Linked DNA regions of Elephas maximus indicus. The protein of the gene in region 2 purifies or fractionates together with the protein of the main gene of each other region. This does not show direct contact. Links are inferred from orthologs where the notes say so. Each region holds a gene or a part of one and is shown on either strand. Other genes may lie near its edges.

Region 1 (7,671 bases), on a different chromosome or scaffold from region 2:
ACAGCAGTGGGTTTTTTGGTTATAACAAGCTTCTTCTGTTCATTAATCTTTTGCTGTTCATTTGATACTAAGAACTAAGCCAAATAAAACTGAACCAAAATTAGCCCAGACCAAACCCATTGCCATCAGGTCGATTCTGACTCATAGCAACCCTAAAGGACAGAGTAGAACTGCCCCATAGGGTTCCAAGGAGCACCTGGTGAATTTGAACTGCCAATTTTTTGGTTAGCAGCTGTAGCTCTTAACCGCTGTGCCACCAGGGGTTCCAAAAATTAGCCCAGTTAATCACAATTGTTAGTAAGTCACTGTCTTAGTTTCTTAGTACTGCTGTAACAGAAGTATCACAAGTGGGTGGCTTTAATAGACAGATACTTATTTTCTCACAGTTGAGAAGGCTAGAAGTCTGAATTCAGGGCACCAACTCTAGGGGAAGGCTCTCTCTGCTCTGGGGGAAACCCTTGTCTCAACTTCTCTAGCCCCAGGGTTCCTTGGTTCCTTGGTGACCTCCACATGACATCTGTCCTTCCCCTGTTTGTGCTTCTTTGCTCTGTGTTGCTCCTTTGTCACTCTGAGCGCTTAGGTTTAGGATACTCCCTACACTGATAGGTTTGTTCACGTAACAAAGAACCCTGTTTCCAAATTGTATACATCCAAAGGTATAGGGGTCAGAATTCCAACACATATTTTGTAGGGGAGGGGGGACACAATCAAATCTATAATCATCATGGATATATTTTTTGGAGGATATAGACTCTTTTTCTCTGATTTTGGAGAAAATGTTAGGATACCGCTGTCAGTCTCTTAATATACCTCACGTGAAAATAAGAACTTGCCAGACATGATGTTAATATGTCATTTTAAAAGAATGCTAGTTCCATCTTGCTGGGTAGAGATGGATTCTTACATGTACTGAGTGATAGTTCTCAGTGTTTTTATGTGGATTAAACGGGAAGACTCCTAATAGTACTTTGTACATAAAAAGCCCTATCATCCTGACCATAATCATTTTCCAAGCCTCTCAAAGGGTAACAGGATAATCTGCCGGAAAAGTTATTGCTCTCTCACCCCCATTAGCCGAATCAATGTATGAGATACAGCGAATTTGAGGAGATGGGACATGTTGGTATTGAGTAAACGTTAAAGCAATTAATCACTAAATTGGTCTACATCGTTTACAAAGCAGGAAGTACTGTAGAAGGCCTCAGTGATGTTTGGCAAATAAAGAGTTTTCAATGAAAATAGATAGTAATACCTAGATTTAACTAAATCTAAATCTAGGGAAAGATATATAGACCTTTAAATTAATCTGATTGAAAAGAACAGTAGACTATTAAATAATCTATAAACAAAGTAGAGCACTTACTTTGTCTTTAACCTAGGAATGACCCAAAGATTCACTAAAGGTAGGGAGCTAACTTAATCTGAGACCCTATTTTTACTCTTCTTAAGGAAGGTTCAAGGATGGGTGATACAAGCTGTTCGCAGTTGGCTGCTAACCTAAGGGTTGGTGATTCAAACCCATCCAATGGCTCTGTGGAAGAAAGGCCTGCCAAACTGCTTCCATAAAGATTACGGCCAACAAAACCCGTTGGAGCAGTTCTACCCTGTAACACATGGGGTCGGCATGAGTTGGAATCAACTGAACGTCAATAGAAAGGAAGGTTCACAGTACCTCACGTTAGATACTGTGGTCTTGAAGGGGAGAACAGTCCAAAACCTGAATATTGATTGCTGTTACAGGTCGTAGTTTAATTTTTTCCAAATTTTAGTTATTGAGGTATTCATCCCAACTTTATTACTATTATATCTTTTTATCCAAACTGTTCTCTTTTCTGTAACCAGGGATTTCAAGTGAGTTCTAGATTGTTAGGATTGTACAGAGAGAAGATGGAGAGGGTAAGCTTGAATCTGGTTCATAAAGTGTGTGAAACCCTATGAGAAGCAAGGTGACCGCCTGGGACAGGAGCAAATGCTGCAAGTTCTCAGAGGAGCCTAAAGCTGCTAGTCACCCTTGTTCACCTATGCAAGAGGGGATCCTAGTGGAAAGCTACCATTTTGGACAGATTTCTACTGAGAGCATCAGGCTCATGTCCAGAAACCAACCTCAGTGTCAACAAGACTACCTTCTCCTGCGAGGAAGAGGAAGCAGAGTCCATGCTGTGGCTGCCACCAGCTGCCCAGGGGCCTGGAATGCCACTTCATGACTCAGATTCAACAGTGTACCTGTGTGGTTCTGATTTTGAGTTTGGTCCAAGATCACCAAACTGTGACTAGTAGCTACAAAACACTAATTTTAGACGATGAGAATTTTCTCTCTTCTAAGATTTTTTTTTTTTTTTTAAGATTAGTTTTCCCAAATGTTTATGATTCAGGAAAAAGCTGACAAATGCAGTGTTATATTAGTGATCATGGAGAAGTATATGGTAAATAGCAAGGATACCATCTATTAAAAATAGTGTGGCTTGATAACCTCATGCTGAGGATGACAATTAGAGGTGCTAAAGTCACCTTAAGTATTGAGACTGGACGTGAAAGGGAGCCCTGGTGATGCAGGGGTTAAGAGCTCGGCTGCTAACCAAAAGTCAGCCATCCAAATCCACCAGCCGCTCCTTGGGAACCCTATGGGGTAGTTCTACTCTGTCCTGTAGGGTTGCTATGAGTCAGAATCAACTCGAGGGCAACAAGTTTTATGGACATGAAAGACGATACCTCCTAGACCTTCAGTTCAAGGTGTTTAGTGGGCAGAAATGCCAAATGTCAGTCAAGACAAGCTGATTGTCTTTGGCACAGCCTCTCCACCTTTATCCACCCCTCTAGGAAGTAAATCTTAAGAAAGCTCTTCCTTTGTTACCTCAGATGACCCAGTACCTCCCCAATTGTGTCCAAACTCACATTTTAAAATTTTATATTATCTCAAATGTTCCAAAGACTTTTGCACCACAATGAAATTTAATCACGATGCAGTAATTTGTGATTGATTTTCCCCCAAAATAGAACATAAACTTGTCAATAAAAGGTATGGTCTTTGATGGTCGCAGAAAGCATTTGAGATCCCAGAGCACTTTATGAAAGGGAAAGACCATAAAATACTTTGAGTTACAAAGTCGGTCATGTCTTCTCCACCCAGTGGTTTAAGTTTAGCAACAGAGTCTTTATGCAATGTGAATTAGGACGTTGGTGACAGATTCTAATGCTGGGAGTAATGTATGTATGTAGACTAAAACTTAAAGCCTTCTGTTCATTTTTAATATATACATGGAATGCAGAGATAGTTCAGGCTATTTTAGTCATTGGTCTAAGTTTTAATCTTGACTTAGAAGGTGAAGAGTAAGTAGAAAATTTTTTCTAACAGCATTTTTACAGAATTACAGTAATTTAGGAGATTTCCTGATACTAAAACTGATATAGGTGCAATTGAACCAAATCCTTAGCCTGTCCCATAGACTGAGCAGCCCTGTGTTATCCTTCTATGCTCAAAAAGGAACTTGGAAAATGGGGTCATTGATATCACAAGTCTGTATAGCCAACACTGAAGCCTAATGAGCATTGCTTAAATAAAAGTAGGAGGAGTCTTTGGAGGTTACACGGACTTGAGTTCACAAACCCAGCAGATCATCAGAACACAGATTTCCTGGGTCCAACCTCATGCTTGCCAAATTAAAGACTGAAAAAAAAATTTTTTTTTGTAACTCCAGGAAGTTATTAGCCTCAATTTCTTCATGTAAAGTGGGTTGACAATAATCCCTGTTGGGTAGGGTTATTAGTAATACAGGCTAAACACTATAAAACGCAAGGGGTTTGGCACATAAGTGTTCAGATGACAGTAATTCATCCAAATTTCATGAAGTCCAAGCCAGAAGTCCAAGTCAGAACTCTTGCTGCGATTGGAATCCGTGTTTGACAGCCTCAGTTGGAGCACTATCACTTACATGCTGTCAGAATTCAGAATCTGAATTGTTTGTTGTTGTTGTAAAAATATATATAATACAACATTTGACAATTAGAGCCTAAATTTGTACTGCATAGTTCAGGATTACCACTTGATTCTTCCGTTACGGTTGTGACTAAATGTAATTAAAAAAAAAAAAAAAGATCTAACTTCATTGTGGTTCAGAGATTATACTTTTAAAATGATATCCGTGATGAGTGTTTCCAAAGGTTCATATGGCTTTCTCAGTAGGTAATGTTGCTTCTTTACAATTCCTGACTAAAAATTCAGTATTGCTTTATAAGTTTCTCAGATGTGACTTCCTGCTGTCCTTCTGTGCCTACAGTGTATCTCTTTTTGTTAATTAACATTGTAGTATACTATAAAAATGTTCAGCAGTCAGCCTTTATTAGAGTGTGATATGCTACTTTTTTTTTTTTTATGCTACTTGTGGTTTACAAGTGTAATATGTTTTTTTTTTTTTTTTTCTGTTAACTGTTAACCTTTTCTTAGGTGCCCTGATGCTGAAGTACTATGAGCTTTCAGACCTTCTGGAGAGACTACAAAGTTCTGGTTGTTATGATACCAGTAGTTGGGCTCATACATCTGGGGTGGTACAAAATCAAAAGCAGCCCCATTTTCCAAATACCTAATAAGGACAACATTCCTGAGCCAGATAATCTGGCTCTTACAAGTCCTCAGAAGATCAAAACCCAAGGGAAATAGCAGACTTGCAGCCTTCAGGTAAGTTGGATTTAATGTGATCAACCACATGGTACCTTCCACTCATGGGGAACTTGATCTCATAATAGAGCTCTAGCAAGAGAAAGCTAAGGTGGCGTGTTAGCCCTGTTGTTTTTATTATGACCCACTGTTCTGCAGTTGCTTTTAGAAGTGTGTGTTGCACAGAGACCTTTGACACTTGTTTGGAAGAGTCATTTGCATGAAAAGGTACAGGACTATGGATCCAGTACTCTTCCTGTCCCTTTCAGTGTCACCAGGATCGTGAATGTGTACAGAGAAGCAGCTGACTCCGGGCCATAAACCCATTGCCTTGTTGTCAGTTGCCTTCCAGTTGATTCCAACTCATGGGGACCCCACGTGTGCAGAGTAGAGCTGCTCCGTAGGGTTTCAAGTCTGCGACCTCTCAGAAGCAGATCTCCAGGCCTGCCTTCCAAGTCACCTCTGGGTGAACTTGAACCTTTCATCTGGTAGTCATGCACTTAACTGTTTGCACCGCCCACAGACTCCATTACAGAGCTTAAAAGTCTGTAACTTGGAAAAAGCTCTTTTCCGGTACAACACTATTGTGTTAATTCCTTAGCATCTGATCAAAATAATTTGTTACTTTTGAGAGTCTGAGATGAGAGGATGCAGTCACACAGTTCATATGTGTAGCTCTTTATCTACAATTCCAAAGTCCAAAAAGCTCTAAAACCTAGAGTTTTTTGCCGTAATTCCTTTGGCAGCAAAACTTGATCTTAATTAACGTAATAATTTGTAATTTTAGCCCACTTAATGTGAATGTTTATTTTCACTACAGATGAGTTGTTGTGTTTGATTATGAGTTTCGTAATAAACACTATACTGTATTTCTAAAACTCTTAAGAATTTTGAATCATGGCCCCGAGGGTTTCAGGTAGAAAACTGGGACTCTATATTTAGAAAACATTTTCTATTCTAATATACCGTTTTTGAACCTTTTGACCTTCAGTTGAATAATAATATGGTTTAAATTTTGGCATAAGGTGGGTCATAAGGTTCTGCTCCTTTTAGAAGGATCTTGTTAAGATTTTTCTGTTAAGTGTGTGCTTATGACTTGTGATAAAACTATTATATAATTATGGGCTATAGTATTTTTTAAAATTTTTATCTTATACAGTATTATTTTAAATCAAGCTTTTATTTTCTCCTTAAATGTTCTTAAGGAGAAGGGGGAAGCAGGGATTAAAATATCAGACCATAAATATTAAAAGACAGGTGCTAAAATGTCAGAAATTTAACAACTTATAAGAGAAACCTTAGACATTGAGTATAAAATGTGTATTTATAGTGAGATTTTAGTGGACATGAACAGGGAGTTAAAGAGCTTATGAAATGCTTGATTTTTATGTATAACCTCTTCCAGACTAATGAGATCATTACAGAGTACATGTAGGCCCTGACTTACTATGTATTGGAGTTACCATGAACTGCGCTTACCACCATCTGGGTTTTTTTGTATTGATAATATATACTACATACAATGTTTTAGTGCTTAATTTGCTGATGCTAATCATTCTCAGATGTTCAAAGATCAGATTTGTAAAGATACTGTAATAAAAGGCAATAATAATGAAAACTAGAGGGAAAAAAAAAGAGGTATTCGACTTAGGTCAGAACCTACTTTAAGATGGAGTCGTTGAAACAGAGCCCTGCCAGCAGTCAGGGACTGTCTGTATGTATATCACGCTTATGACATCATATTTGTCCTTTAAGTCATAAGCATTTGGGGGCCTGGTACAGCCACACTTTAGAAAAAAGGTAAAAAAAGTAGTTTCTCCTTGTACAAAAAGAAATACAAAACATATCATTAATTAAGGCATACTTAGAGGAAAAGTAAAACTGAAAAAAGAAATTGTCTCTTCGGAAATGTTAGAGGTTTTCGATGTCAGCACTGCAATAGTTAGAAGATTTAGAGGCCAGCGCTGCCAGGCAAGCAAGCGGAAGCAAATCCTTACACAGGCTTGGGAAGCAAAAGGAAAAGCCGGATTTAGACTCGGTTAGACACGGATTCCTAACGGTTTAGTACACCTGAAGACTGTGCTGTAGTTGCCCCTTACTATTTTTTATTGTTATTTTTATTATGGAAAATTTCAAACTTATCCAAAAATAGAGAAACTAATTGAACTCTCAAGTATCCATTACTCACCTTTAACACTTATCCATATTTTCCCAGTCTTCTTGTATCCTTCCTTTGGTTTTTTTGGTTTGGTTTGGGCTGGAATGTTTTAAAGCATATTCCAAGCTAGAGTATATATCCCTTCCATATGTATCTTTAAGCGAGGAAAAACACACTCACACATAGCCACAATTGCACTGTCACACTGAAAAAATTAACATTGACCCTCTGATACCATCTCATACCCAGGGCCGTGTTCGTATTTCTGAATTGTCATTAAACAGCTTGTCTTAGAGGTGGTTTGTTGGAATCACAATCCAAACTAGGTTTACACATTGCATTTGGTAGATGCGTGTCTTTTCATCTACGACATTTCCCCTCCCCATTGGCCATTTTTAATTTTCCACATTCTGAATTTGGCTGATTGCATCCTCATTATGTTGTTTCCTATAACCTGGAATTTAGAACAGAGGCTTGCTTCAAATCTGTTTCCTTTTTAAGCATTAATACTTCATGGGGAAACCCTGGTGGCATAGTGGTTAAGTGCTACGGCTGCTAACCAAAGGGTCAGCAGTTCAAATCCACCAGGCGCTCCTTGGAAACTCTATGGGGGAGCTCTACTCTGTCCTATAGGGTCTCTATGAGTCGGAACCGACTCAACAGCACTGGGTTTGGTTGGGGTTTTTTTTCAATACTTCATGGATGGTGGTATGTGCACCTCCTAGTGAATCACGCTGCCTTACACATAATGTGTGGTTCTGCTTTCAGTGTTGCTAAGATTAATAAGTGGGTTAACAGCCTGATCCCTCTAGTCTGAAGTTCCCCACTGATCTTTTCCGTAATGAAGCACTAACATCTACTG
Region 2 (7,236 bases):
GCAGTCCATGGTATATTCAACATTCTTTACCAAGAGCACAATTCAAAGGTGTCAATTCTTCTTCGCTCTTCCCTATTCATTGTCCAGCTTTCACATGCATATGACACAATTGAAAATACCGTGGCTTGGGTCAGGCACACCAGAGTCTTCAGGGTGACATCTCTGCTCTTCGGCACTTTGAAGAGGTCCTTTGCAGCAGATTTACCCAACACAATGTGTCTTTTGATTTCTTGACTGCTGCTTCTGTGGCTGTTGATTGTGGATCCAAGTAAAATGAAATCCTTGACAACTTCAATTTTTTCTCTGTTTATCATGATGTTGTTCATTGGTCCAGTTGTGAGGATTTTTGTTTTCTTTATATTGAGGTGCAATCCATACTGAAGGCTGTGGTCTTTGTAAGTGCTTCAAGTCCTCTTCACTTTCAGCAAGCAAGGTTGTGTCATCTGCATAACGCAGGTTGTTAATGAGTCTTCCTCCAATCCTGATGCCACATTCTTCTTCATATAGTCCAGCTTCTCGTATTATTTGTTCAGCATACAGATTGAATAGGAATGGTGAAAGAATACAACCCTGACGCACACCTTTCCTGACTTTAAACCAATCAGTATCCCCTTGTTCTGTTTGAACAATTGCCTCTTAATCTATGTACAGGTTTTCAGGAGCACAATTAAACGTTCTGGGATTCCCATTCTTCGCAGTGTTATCCATAGTTTGTTATGATCCACACAGTCAAATGCCTTTGCATAGTCAATAAAACACAGGTAAACATCCTTCTGGTATTCTCTGCTTTCAGCCAGGATCCATCTGATATCAGCAATGATATCCCTGGTTCCATGTCCTCTTCTGAAGCCAGCCTGAATCTCTGGCAGTTCCCTGTCAATATACTGCTGCAGCCATTTTTGAATGATCTTCAGCAAAATTTTGCTTGCGTGTGATATTAATGATATTGTTCTATAATTTCCACATTTGGTTGGATCACCTTTCTTGGGAACAGGCATAAATATGGATCTCTTCCAGTCAGTTGGCCAGGAAGCTGTCTTCCATATTTCTTGGCATAGATGAGTGAGCACCTCCAGCGCTGCATCTGTTTGTTGAAACATCTCAATTGATATTCCATCAATTCCTGGAGCCTTGTTTTTTGCCAATGCCTTCAGAGCAGCTTGGACTTCTTCCTTCAGTACCATCAGCTCCTGATCATATGCCACCTCTTGAAATGGTTGACCATAGACTAATTCTTTTTGGTATAATGACTCTGTGTATTCCTTCCATCTTCTTTTGATGCTTCCTCCATCATTTAATATTTTCCCCATAGAATCCTTCACTATTACAACTCAAGGCTTGAATTTTCTTCAGTTCTTTCAGTCTGAGAAACGCCAAGCGTGGTTTTCCCTTTTGGTTTTCCATCTCCAGCTCTTTGCACATGTACATATAAGTGGAGTCACACAATATTTGCCCATTTGTGACTGACTTATTTTACTCCGCATAATGTTTTCAAGGTTCATTCATGTTGTATCACTGTATCAGGACTTCATTTCTCTTTATGGCTGAAGAATATTCCATTGTATGTATGCAGTACATTTTATTTATCCATTCATCAGTCCACTAGTTTTTAATCATCTTATTCGCTGTATTCGATTCCTTTTGGCTAAAGAGTAGTATTTACTTCCAACACTGAACCTAAGTGATATGTAGTAGGCTACTGAACAGTCTCACTTTCACTATCACTAGCATCCTTAAATGACCATTTACTTTTGTTGAAGCACTACCAGCACACACACAAAAAAACCGAACCCATTGCCGTTGAGTCAATTCTGGCATGGTGACCCTAAAGGACAGTGCAGAACTGCCCCACAGGGTTTCCAAGGAGCAGCTGGTGGATTCAAACTGCTGACCTTCTGGTTAGCAGCTGAGCTCTTAACCACTACTACCAGCACAGGCACCCATTATCTAAGATAGAAATCTTAACTTCTCCCTTTTCCTCACCCCACATCCAAATTCCGACCAGTTTATTTTAGATGTACCTCCTAAAGAGGTTTTGAATCTGTCCTTCCATCCCATCCTTACTGAAACTGCCTTAGTTCTGCTATATCCTACCTGGATCACTGCAAGTTTCCTAATTAGCCTCTCTGACTCCAGTCTTCAGCCTCCCAGTGCATTTCCTACGTCCTTGCTTTTCTGAAATGCAACTCTGTGCCTGTTATTCTCCAGCATACATTTTTTAAAGGTTCTGAACTGCTTCACAACAATAATTTCGTGGCCTTTGTTCCTTATGCCAAAAAAGCTCTCTCTCCTCCATCTTTACCTGGTCAAGAAGTTCACATGTCTTCTTCTCCCTTCATCTTCTCCAGGGTACTTTAGGTTAGGCTCTCCTCCTGTGTGCTCCTACAAACATTCTGTACTGCTCCATCGAAGCCCTTTTCACTCTCTGTTGTAATGGTCTATTTACCTCTCTTTTCTCCCTACTAGACTGTGACAGCAGTTACTTGATAGCAGTGCCATTTTCTTTGTCATACCTGAAACCCTAGCAAATGAGCACATAACCAGTCCTCAGTAATGTTTATTGAACAATAATGTTTTAAAAGCCTATTTTCTGATCAAGCTGAACCTTTGTATAATCTATTATTGAGATTCCACCAGATTAATTTCTTTTTTCGTTCAAATGAGTGTGGCTAAGTCTCACCTTAACTATTCCCACTTTTTTTTTTCATTTTCTTAATTTAAAATCTGTGTTGTAGGCATTCACTCCCAAGTATGGGAAAAACATACTTCACTCTTTCATTTAGTCAATATTTATTTGCATCTAGTAGGTACCAGGAACACAATGATATAAAATAAAAATCTTAAAGAAAATTCTAGAAGTGTGAATTGTATGATTTTGAAGTTCTAAGAAAACATAAGCTGATTTGACTTAATAATTACATTTTTAGAGATCCAAACAGTTGAGAGATTTCTAAAACTATTTAACTGGCTTTTGAGTTTTATTCCCTCCACCCCCAAAAGTGAAAAACTGTATGTAACTATAGGCCAATTTATTCAGCATTGATAGTGGAGTAAATGAAAGTCACTGGTTAGCCAGTATGCTGTTGAAACAGTTGCCTATCACTAGATATTTAAATTACACCAAGTCAGTTGTTTCTAAGTCTAAAGGGGCACAAATCAAGGGTCTTGGAGCCCTGGTGGTGCAGTAGTTAAGAGCTTGGCTGCTAACCAAAAGATCAATGGTTTATCAGCTGCTCCTTGGGAACCCTATGGGGCAGACCTACCCTGTCCTACAGGTTCACTATGAGTTGGAATCGACCTGTAGTCAATGGTTTGTTTATTTGTTTATTTTTAATTATAAAAGCAAAGTGTCTACTGTATTTGATTGGCCCCTCTAGGGATGCTCAAAAATAATTAAGAGGAGACACAGTCTCTGTCTCTCTCGTAATTCCATTTGAAGCTAACATTCTGGGAAATTGTTTAAAAAATAAAACTATAGACTTCTGAAAGATGAATCCTGGTTCCATTATAAACAAGGCATGGGTACAATAAGGAGACAGTAAGAGGGGCAATCTGCTTTACAAGCCTTTTGCAAACAGCTTCACAGAGGACTAGCCTGGGACAAACCTGTCAAAGAAATGGACAGAGATCCATGAATGCCACCAGACCGCTTCTCCCAAGGAGAAGCAGTTAGCCTAAAAGACCTACGGAATGATGGGGAAGATGAAGGGAAAAATTAATTGGAGGACCGCTCTTCTCTGTGGCAACACGCGGAGAGTTTACTAACGACACCAGAGGATCATGAAAAGGGAACGAATAATGCATTTACAAAATCGCTACATTACTCTGGGGAGAAACTTCAGCCCCAGCCCCAGTTCCAGGAGGATGTTTGAGCTTCGCACTCACCATGCCCCCAACCGACGCCCTCGGCCGGGACGCAGCGCCGCCTCACCCTCCCGCCGCTCTGCCCAACGGTAACCTCCACAGCTGCGAAGCTGTTGCTAAGGCCGCTCTCACGCGCCCGCCCAGCCAACGCCCTTACTGATTGATAATCACTCCATCCAATAGGCAAAAAGAGAAGGTTCTTGAGCCAGCCCCCCTCTGTCTACTCTGTACCAATAGCGTGTCGCTCCCGCCTTTCCCGAGCTGAACTTTCCTCTCTGGTTTCTTAGCGACCAAACCAGCCGGCCCAGCCATATTGACCCCTCCCCTCGCACATGCGCAAACAGTGGACGGGGAGGTGGACGCGGGTAAGGGGGCGCGTTCGCCTGGGCGCGTTCGCAGCTTTCTGGTCCTGCACCCAGCCAGGACCGACTCGACCCTGTGTAGGGATGGAGAAAGGAGAGAGGTTAGTAGCGAGGCGCTTCCACCTCCACCGACTGCTAAGGCTTGATGAAGACATGGGGTGTGGGGGGGAAGCCTTTGTTTGTCTTTCTGACCTCTTGGAGCTGGGGAAAGGATTAGAATCTCCAGCCTGGTGGGTTTTAGGGGAATTGACCCAGGCTAGTTTTATCATCTGGCTGGGATTATTTTCCGCGCCTCTGGGCATGCCTGTATACCTCCACAATGCCTAGAGCATGGACTTTTGCCACTCTTCCACCCTGGTTTGGGCAGGGCTTCAGGGTCCGGTTGCCGTGTAGTGGATTCCGACTCGTGGCACCCCCACGTGTATTAGAGTAGAACTGTCCTCCGTAGGGTTCTCAACAGCTTTTTTTTTCTTTTTGAAAGTGGATCACCAGGCACCACTGGGTGCACTTGAACCTCTGTTAGATTAGCAGCTGAGCGAGTATTTAACGATTAGTACCACCTAAGGACTCCACTATGGAGCCCTGGTGGCACAGTGGTTAAGAGCTTGGCGGCTAAGCAAAAGGTCAGCAGTTGGAATCCACCAGCCGCTCCTTGGAAACGCTTTGGGGCAGTTCTGCTCCGTCCTATAGGGTCAATGAGTTGGCATGGCAATGGGTATTACGGTTGGAAGCCCTGGTGGCTTAGTGGTTAAGAGCTACGGATGCTAACCAAATGTTTGGCAGTTCGAATCCACCTTGGAAACCATATGGGGCAGTTCTGCTCTGTCCTATAGGGTCACTATGAGACAGAATCTACTTAAAGGCAACAGTTTTTAAGGACTCCACTGAAGCCCTGGTGGAGTTGTGGTTAAGAGCTCGGTTGCTAACCAAAAGGTCAGCAGTTCGAATCTACCAGCCACTCCTTGGAAACCCTGTAGGGCAGTTCTGCTCTGGCCTATAGGGTCACTATGAGTTGGAATCCACTTGATGGCAACGGGTTAAGGACTCCTCCAAGAAGCCCAGCTGGTGCCGTGTTTAAGTGCTCTAGTAACTGAAAGGTCAGAGGTTCAAACCCAGCAGCCAATCCCACGGGAGAAAAGACATGGTGGTCTGTTGGGGTAAAAATTTCAGCCTAGGAAATCCTGTGGGACAGTTCAACCCTGTCCTATAGGGTCGCTGTGAGTCCGTATCAACTGGAGAGCACACAACAACACAAGGACTCGTCTGGCTGGATAGGCGTGGGGCAGTGATTTGGTAGGAAGGAGGTGAGTATGGGGACAGCTTTTACTTAACTGTGTGTTTATTTGCTGCAGACTCCTCCTCCCCACCCAAGAGATCTGGCTGGTTGTTCAGCCACATCAAGTGTAGCCACATCAAGTGTAGATCCTCACTCCTGAGTAGGCCACAGGTAGCCTGATAATCCGGTTGAACTCTGAGGCGTAGATGCCCATGTAACTGCTGTAAGCCAAAGCAAACTCTTGTCCAGAGGGAGAGACCTGATAATTTTGGCCAGTCCTGCTGAACTTGGCCAAAACCCATCCCATTGCCATTGAGTCGATTCCAACTCACAGGGACCCTATAAGACAGAGTAGAACTGCCCTATAGGGTTTCCAAAGAGCAGCGGGTGGATTCGAACTGCTGACCTTTTGGTTAGCAGCTGTAGCTCGCCATACCTGTTAACCACTGCCACCAGGGCTCCGAACTTGGCCCAGGACCAGCTAAAAGAGTGGGGGAGAAGGACAGTGATAGAAAAGAGCCCTGACTTCCTGGTAGGAAGGAAGAGGTGATATAGCCTCTTAAAACTGACAAAAACACAGCAGGGCCTTTTAGGCTTGCTACAGTGCCTCCTCTGGAGTGCTGGTGGCTGCAGCGGTTAAGAGTTGGGCTCCTAACTAAAAGGTCAAGCCATGCCTTCTCTAGAGTAAATATTTTCTAAAAATCATACTGGACTCTCCAACAGTGGATTCAGGAAGAATATTCAGTTCTGCCTGGTCTTTTTCCTTTGTCTCACTTATCTCATTGAAGTTGGAGCAAGAAAAATGTGCAAACTACATTCTTGAAACAGTCTCCTAAATCACTTTTCATGGTTTGGTAGCTAGAAACATGGCACATTTTCCAAAGCCATCTGCCTGCCATATTCACATTATATCCCAAGCTGTGTAGTTTTGTATGTTACTTAACCCTTTGTTGTTGCTGTCAAGTCAGGGTCTCACTTATGGCAACCCCATGCACAACTGAACATTAGGCTTCTAGAACATAGATAAGGTTGTTCTAATTTTAGAAGTGATTTTACTGCATGAAGTTACCCCCTAAAACCAAACCAAGCCACACCCACTGCCTTTGAGTGGATTCTGACTCATAGCAACCCTATAGGACAGACTAGAACTGTCCCGTAGGATTTCCAAGGTTGTAAATCTTTACAGAAGCAGACTGCCACATCTTTCTTCTGAGGAGCAGCTGGTAGGTTCAAACCATTAACCTTTGGGTTAACAGCCGAGTGCTTTAACCACTGTGCCACCAGCGCACCTTGAAGTTACCCCAGTCGGAATTAAAATGATGTAAATTCAAGATATTTTGTGAATTAATGCAATTTTCAGCCAGTTAACTGTAATATATTGATTTTTCAGGCCATTAATCTCATCTGGAAAGTTGTTCTTGCTTGGCTTTAAGGTCATATACTTCGTCTTTAGTATGAATATTAAAGAGAGTTCTGAGACCCAGAAACGAATAGTGACCGAGTCCTATGTACCCAACTGGATTCTAATTTCTAGACTGTCTCTTACTCTCCTGAATCAAGTTTGATTTCATGGCAGTTAAAAGGCTGAGCAGTATGTTAATCTACTTTTTCATCATTCTATGATTTAGGCCCTTGATATCTGGGGTATTCTAGTTAAAATGGTTGTTTAATGATAAGCTCAGATTCCAATTTCCAGGCTTTGGGTAGAAAGTACTCGGTCTTGAAAAACAGCTG
Region 3 (7,687 bases), about 970 kb from region 2:
ATACAAAACATTACCAAAAATGATGAAGAGAAACCAGATAACTGGGAGCTCCTAAAAATCAAACACCTATGCTCATCTAAAGACTTCACCAAAAGAGTAAAAAGACCACCTACAGACTGGGAAAGAATTTTCAGCTATGACATCTCCGACCAGCGCCTGATCTCTAAAATCTACATGATTCTGTCAAAACTCAACCACAAAAAGACAAACAACCCAATCAAGAAGTGGGCAAAGGATATGAACACACATTTCACTAAAGAAGATATTCAGGCAGCCAACAGATACATGAGAAAATGCTCACGATCATTAGCCATTACAGAAATGCAAATTAAAACTACGATGAGATTCCATTTCACACCGGCAAGGCTGGCATTAATCCAAAAAACACAAAATAATAAATGTTGGAGAGGCTGCGGAGACATTGGAACTCTTATACACTGCTGGTGGGAATGTAAAATGGTACAACCACTTTGGAAATCTATCTGGCGTTATCTTAAACAGTTAGAAATAGAACTACCATACAACCCTGAAATCCCACTCCTGGGAATATACCCTAGAGATACAAGAGCCTTCATACAAACAGATATATGCACACCCATGTTTATTGCAGCTCTGTTTACAATAGCAAAAAGTTGGAAGCAACCAAGGTGTCCATCAACGGATGAATGGGTAAATAAATTGTGGTATATTCACACAATGGAATACTACGCATCGATAAAGAACAGTGACGAATCTGTGAAACATTTCATAACATGGAGGAACCTGGAAGGCATTATGCTGAGCGAAATCAGTCAGAGGCAAAAGGACGAATATTGTATAAGACCACTATTATAAGATCTTGAGTAATAGTAAACGTGAGAAGAACACATACTTTTGTGGTTACGAGGGGGGGAGGGAGGGAGGGTCGGAGAGGGTTTTTTATTGATTAATCGGTAGATAAGAAATGCTTTAGGTGAAGGGAAAGACAACACTCAATACATGGAAGGTCAGCTCAATTGGACTGGACCAAATGCAAAGAAGTTTCCGGGATAAAATGAATGCTTCAAAAGTCAGCGGAGCAAGGGCGGGGGTCTGGGGAACATGGTTTGCAGGGACTTCTAAGTCAATTGGCAAAATAATTCTATTATGAAATCATTCTGCATCCCACTTTGAAATGTGGCGTCTGGGGTCTTAAATGCTAACAAGCGGCCATCTAAGATGCATCAATTGGTCTCAACCCACCTGGAGCAAAGGAAAATGAAGAACACCAAGGCCACACGACAACTAAGAGCCCAAGAGACAGAAAGGGCCACATGAACCAGAGACCTACATCATCCTGAGACCAGAAGAACTAGTTGGTGCCCGGCCACAATCGACGTCTGCCCTGACAGGGAGCACAGCAGAGGACCCCTGAGGGAGCAGGAGATCAGTGGGATACAGACCCCAAATTCTCATAAAAAGACCAAACTTAATGGTCTGAATGAGACTAGAGGAATCCCGGCAGCCATGGTCCCCAGACCTTCTGTTGGCACAGGACAGGAACCATTCCTGAAGACAACTCATCAGACATGAAAGGGACTGGTCAGCGGGTGGGAGAGAGACGCTGATGAAGAGTTAGCTAATTATAGCAGGTGGACACTTGAGATTGTGTTGGCAACTCTTGTCTGGAGTGGAGATGGGAGGAGAGAGAGAGAGAGAAGCGGGCAAAATTGTCACGAAAGGAGAGACTGAAAGGGCTGACTCAAGAAGGGGAGAGCAAGTGGGAGTAGGGAGTGAGATGTATGTGAACTTATATGTGACAGACTGATTGGATTTGTAAACGTTCACTTGAAACTTTAATAAAAGTTAATAAAAAAAATAAAAAAATGGAAATTTTTATTACAAATTATGCAAGCATTTTATGGAAACAGAAAAAATAGGGGGTGAAAGCCCATAATCTTTCAATTAATAACCAACTAAAACTTCCTAATGTATTTCTCAACAGTCCTTTCACGTAATTGTGGTCATAGTATACACACCATTTTATTTCCTGCCTTTTAACTTATCCGTATAACTGGAATGCTTTTCACATTGCTATACAGCCTTCATTATTTTCACTTGTATATAGTCCACAGAGTCGATGCACCATTCCCCCATTATTGGACAGTTAGGTCCCTAATTTAAAGATTGTTTCAATTATGACTTCTTAACTACTTCCTGTTGTTTTCATAGACTAAATATTCAGAGTTAGGTTTATGGGGTAAAAGGTTAGGTTTATAGGTTGCCATGCCTATTGCTAAAGTGACTTTGAAAAAGGTTTTATTACTAGTTTATGCCATCACAAGCAGTTGATGAGTGTGTCTTACAGCATACAGTGTTATCATTTAAACCTACATTCCAATTTGAAAGGCAAAATAGAAAGACATCCTGCTTTGATATGATTGATTACAGTGAGAGTAGTAGTTTTCTACATGTTTGTTCAGTAGTCACCTCTTTTGTGAACTGTCTATTCATATCGTTACCTGTTCATTTATTGGAGTCATAGTATTTCTTAATTTTATTAATTTGTTTAAAGAAGTTAACTCTTTGTAAATGTTTTCCCAAATTTTTGTTAATTTTTTTTTTATTTTTGTGACATAGAAATGATTCATCATTACTTCTCATATCTGATTTTGTTTGTGGTTTCTTGTATTCCCTCTGAGACGAGACAATTCCCTTCCAACATATTAAATTCTATAAAATTCTACACAATTTTATTTCCTCTGATCTCCTGTATGGTTTTACTTCTCTATTAACTTCTAAAATTTCTCTGATAAGTATTTTTCTGTAAAGTCTAAATTGATAGATGTATTTTCCCCAAATTGCTGAACAGGTAACCCATCCTCATGTATTGTTGTCTGTTATTTTAGCCTCAGAAAAGGAATTGGCCAGAACACCCTGGAAAAACCCTAGGCAAAAATCTTCTCAGATCCTTCTGCAGGAATTCAGTTCTCTTCCTAATTTCACTTTTTCTCAGGGATTTAATTCTTCTTGTGTTGTTTCACAATCATTTGTGAACCCTCCTCTGTAGTAGATCACAGAAATCAGGAAAAGGGCTCTATCATATTCATCTGAATTTTGACAGGCAGATCGCGTTGTGAACTAAGGAAGAATTGACAAAAGTGAGTCAAGGAATGTCAGCTCTCAGTCAGATTCTAGGTCACTATAAAAAAAAAAAAGGCCAGTGATGTTCAAAGTGTAGTCTGCAGACCCCTGGGGTTCTCTTAGGCCTTTTCTGGGGTCTGCAATTTTGAAACTATCTTCATAGTAACACAAAGACATTATTTGCCTTTTTCGCTGTGTTGACATTTGCACTGATGGTACAAAAGCAATGGAGGTTAAGACTGCTGGCGCCTAAGTATGAATCAAGACGATGTCTCCAAACTGTATTAGTAGGCACTGTATCCTTCATGCCACACACTGGCAGGAAACCAAATAAGGTTTTATATGAACATGGCCTTCATGGAGCAGTAAAGATTGTTAACTTTAAGCCTCAATTTGAGTACATGTCTTTTTTTTTTTTTAATATTGTGGGATGACATGGGAAGTACGCATAAAGCACTTCTGCTGAATACTGAAGTACATTGTCTCAAGGAAATGCACTTGTGTGATTATATGAGTTGCTAGCAGAACTCTGCTGTTTTCATGGAACATTAGTTTTATTTCAAAGAACGACTGACAAACTAAGATTATTTGGACTTGTTATTTAGCATACGTTTTCTCATTAATTCAAGAAGGAACCTATCGGCTCAAGGAAAACAACTGACATTTGTCGCCCATGCTTAAAATTCGGGTTTTCAAGTATAAATTAGAATTTTGGAAAATTTGTATCTACCATATGAGTTTGACAGCTTTCCCATGCTTCAAGAATTTTCTGATGAGATTTGTGGCGGTTTTAACAAATAGGATTTTTTGATACTGTATCATGAAGCCAGACTCCGTATTGCAACTAACCTTTCAAAAACGACTACTTGACTAGTTTGGACCAAATTTTCTCCATATACTTCAACAAAAATAACAAATAGCAATAGATAGAATGCAGAAGCAGATCTGGGACTCCTGCTGTCTACTACTAAGGCAAACAATAAATAGAGGCAAACAACGCCATTCTTTTTATTTTGGAAACTGTATTTTTCATTAAAATGTAATCTATGCAATGGGTTTATTTTTAATGAATTAAAAAATTTTTCAGCTCTAATTTCTAATACAGTAAATATCAGTAGAAAACTCACATGAACAAAAATTCTTTGGGGTCCTCAATAGTTTTAAGGGTTTTGTAAAAAAGCCCTGAGGGCAGAATTTTGAGAACTGCTATTGTAAGCTAACGCTTATAACGGTGGAGCCGAATTCTTCCCTTCGCACTAACGAAGTGAAGTAGGTTAGAGTCGACCGGGGACTCAAACCTGAGCTCCACACAGCAGGAGGCATGCTCTGAGGGAAAGAGCTAGGAAAGCAGGGCAAAGGGAAAGGGCTGGAGCCAAGACTGCGTCTCTTGTCTCCCTGGAAACCGCCCTACCTTGGTCCCCTGGACCGTGTCCTGCGTTCCTCACCGCCTCTGATTGGAGCAGGTTAAGGTAGTAGGCGGGCTGTGGGCGCGTGGGCGGGGCGTATTTTCGTCCAGGGACTACTCACGTGAACGTACTGACGTCACGACCGACGCTGCTGCCCCGACGCCCTACCCCTGCATCCCCCGCCGGAGGCCGCGGTACGTGGGCTTGCACCTCAGAGGGGGACGCGGGCGGCCTTCGTCGCCGGGTCCGAGGCCTGAGGGCCCGCAGCGCCTGTCTTTCCTGTTCTGGCCCGGCGCTGCCCGGCGCGTCAGTGCAGCCGTCATGGATCTGAATTTAAACCGAGCAGATTATTTACAGGTAAATCCGAGGGGGTGGGGCAAGCGCCGCGCTGGCTGAGCTTCGCGCCCTGAGAGGATTCGTTCTTCCACAGACCTCTGTCCGGGTCTCCCGGTGCGGACGCGGGCTGGGCGCGAAAGAGCCCGGCCGGGCACCGCCCTCCCGGCGACCCTCTCGCGGGGAGCGGGCAGGTCCGGCTGGTGGGTGACGGTCCGCTGGGACTTGGAAAGAAGTGACACACGCCCCCGCGGACCTGGCGCCTGCTGAGGGTGCTCTCCCCGGATTTCGCTTTAGGGCCCTTTTCCTCCGCCTTCCCGGCTGCGGCTCCCTGTGGGCCTGAAGCTCCCTGATCTGTCTCTACCCCGCACCTTCTCCCGAGCGCCAGACCCATGGTCCCAACTTTGAGCCGGACAGCACCAGGCAGATCATAAGAAAAGCAGTGGCAACCCATTAGTGATCATCTAGTTCATTCTAAGAGTTTTACGTAAATATTTAGTCCTCATAAAAGATTCTGCAAAGTGGATAGTCTTAACAGATGAGGATCCAGGGGCTTAGAGAAGGTAAGCAGTTTGCTTAATACCAGAAATGATGGAGAGTCTCTATTTGAAACAAAGTCTTGGATTCCACAGTTTTTCTTTCTCTTACACCACATTTTCTCTCAGGATTTCTTTCAGCCTCCTCGAAATAGATCTAAGACTGAATTCGTTATCTGTCTCTCCCATCTCCTCTATTTAGATTAATAGTACAAATGGTTGCCCAGTCAGTTTCCCTCAAGCTAGAAATTTGGGAGTCATGCTAGGTACTCTCACCTTAATCTCTTACACGTTGAACTGGCCACCATATCTTGCTGCTTTTATGTTCTAAATGTTTCTTCAATCTGTCCCATTCCCCCCATGGCCATTACCCCAGTTCAGATTGTCATCTTCTCTGGCTTGGATAATTGAAATAACCTCCTAACTGGGCTCCTGGCCTGCAGTTTCACCTACCTTCAGTCCATTCTTCGCATTACTTGCTAGACTGGTATTCCAAAAATACAAATCTAAAGAGATTATTACCTTAAATGTTAATACTACACCCCAGAATGCAGAATAAAATCATAGATCTGTATTACATGTAAGTTCTTTCATAGTTCTTTCCTAATCTTTTTTTTCTCCAGCTTCTCTCTCAATAGCCCTATACTTCTCATCTAAGTATATACCACTAGTGACAGTTCCCTGCTGAACAAGCCATGGTGTTTTCATCCTCCCTACCTTACGTAAAATAATCTTTACCATTAGTTAGATTGGATGTTATCAAGTCATCAGCATGTCTGGTACTTTAGCAAAATTTTTCTGTTTCGTTTTTAATAAAGCTAATCTATTTCCAAAGATTTTTAATCACTTAAAAAAACTCTTTAACAAGTAGTATGAATTTATAAAAAAGGCTTCTAGAAGTATTGTTTTGTGAAGCACCTTACCAGTAATGCCACATAATTATTTTTGGCTTGACAACTCTCTGGATATATTTTGCTATTTTTGGTTATTTTCCTATATTCTCTCTTTTGTGACATAATTCATTAGAATATAAGTTTGTCATTGATAATAATAGTTACATCATTAATTGCAGTTTAAAAAAAAGACTCACTGTGATATGAAACTGGTGATTCTTTTACATCTGATGTAATAACTTCAAATTGCAGTGCATAAGAGAACATTTAGCAAATGCTGGTGTGTTTTCTTAGGTAGGAGTGACCGCTCAGAAGACTATGAAGCTACTTCCTGCCTCAAAACATAGAGCTACACAAAAGGTACTGTATGGATAATGTTTTACAGAGAAAGATTTATATTTCCTTCATCATTGTTAAGTTGCTTTTTTAAAAATGCTAATAGTAAATTGGAACTGAATTTCTTGTTATTTGAACAGAGGTCAGAATACCAAGGGTCATTTACACACAATAATTTTCTTGCACATTATAATTGCATTATGTGTAATTAGTAAATCATATTAGCAAACCAGTTAAAAACCATAATATAGTTTTTTCTGCTAATAATTTACTCTGTGTGTATCATATTGTGTATATGGAGAAGGAAATGTAAAATAGGATATAGACAAAATGATTTCTTTAAACTTTCTCATATCTCTAAGAGGAATTGAAACTTTAAGTAAATAATTACACACATTTGTGTTTAATAGTATCATTATTTTTATAGAAATACTTATCTTATGATTTCTGCAATTACAATTTCTTAGTATGGAGCCCTTGTGGCGCAGCCATTAAGAGCTCAGCTACTAACCAAAAGGTCAGCAGTTCGAATCCACCAGCTACTCCTTGGATACCCTATGGGGCAGCTCTACTCTGTCCTGTAGAGTTGCTTTGAGTTGGAATTGAGTTGAAAGCACCGGGTTTGGTTTTGGGGGGGTTTTAGTAGGCTAATAGGATATTTTAATAGCTTCAAAGTGAGTACGGTATATATCAAGATACAGCAGTAGGTTTCTGATTGTCATTTATTGTATTCAGCCTATTAGATCAATGATTCACAAACTTCTGGGTCTCAGGATCCCTTTACACTCTTAAATTACTGATGATCTTAAAGAACTTTTGTTTATATAGATTATATCCATTAATACTTATATAAAAATTAAAACTGAGAATTGTTTAAAATACTAATTATTTTATTTGAAAATAATAAATCCATTGCATGTTTATATAATCATTTTTGTGAAAAGAAGGTATTTTCTAAAACAAAAAAAGAATTTAGCAGGAAGAAAGGCATTGCTTTATATTTTAATATAATGCCTGGTAGCAAAGACAGCCGAATGCTCATTTATTTTCTGTATTCAGTGTGTTGTGATACCTTGTTTTG

Evidence for each region. The genes of interacting proteins can lie anywhere in the genome.
Region 1: the proteins of BBS12 (region 2) and McKusick-Kaufman/Bardet-Biedl syndromes putative chaperonin-like purify together in Homo sapiens (co-immunoprecipitation; 4 studies listed by BioGRID and IntAct, counting the BioPlex papers as one, with this or other methods). This does not show direct contact. The link is inferred for Elephas maximus indicus from reciprocal best matches to the Homo sapiens genes BBS12 and MKKS.
Region 3: the proteins of BBS12 (region 2) and BBS7 purify together in Homo sapiens (co-immunoprecipitation; 3 studies listed by BioGRID and IntAct, counting the BioPlex papers as one, with this or other methods). This does not show direct contact. The link is inferred for Elephas maximus indicus from reciprocal best matches to the Homo sapiens genes BBS12 and BBS7.

What each region holds. Positions count from the first base shown.
Region 1 is NC_064843.1:49,215,069-49,222,739, reverse strand, and holds the start of McKusick-Kaufman/Bardet-Biedl syndromes putative chaperonin-like, read left to right. Parts: upstream 1-4,651; 5' UTR 4,652-4,672; intron 4,673-7,671. UniProt on the Homo sapiens protein: Probable molecular chaperone that assists the folding of proteins upon ATP hydrolysis. Plays a role in the assembly of BBSome, a complex involved in ciliogenesis regulating transports vesicles to the cilia.
Region 2 is NC_064823.1:24,363,668-24,370,903, reverse strand, and holds the start of BBS12 (Bardet-Biedl syndrome 12 protein), read left to right. Parts: upstream 1-4,218; 5' UTR 4,219-4,327; intron 4,328-5,071; exon of another isoform or gene 5,072-5,530; intron 5,531-7,236. Other genes in the region: centrin-4, read right to left, coding at 3,886-3,888. UniProt on the Homo sapiens protein: Component of the chaperonin-containing T-complex (TRiC), a molecular chaperone complex that assists the folding of proteins upon ATP hydrolysis.
Region 3 is NC_064823.1:25,335,747-25,343,433, forward strand, and holds the start of BBS7 (Bardet-Biedl syndrome 7 protein), read left to right. Parts: upstream 1-4,667; 5' UTR 4,668-4,829; coding exon 4,830-4,865; intron 4,866-6,564; coding exon 6,565-6,630; intron 6,631-7,687.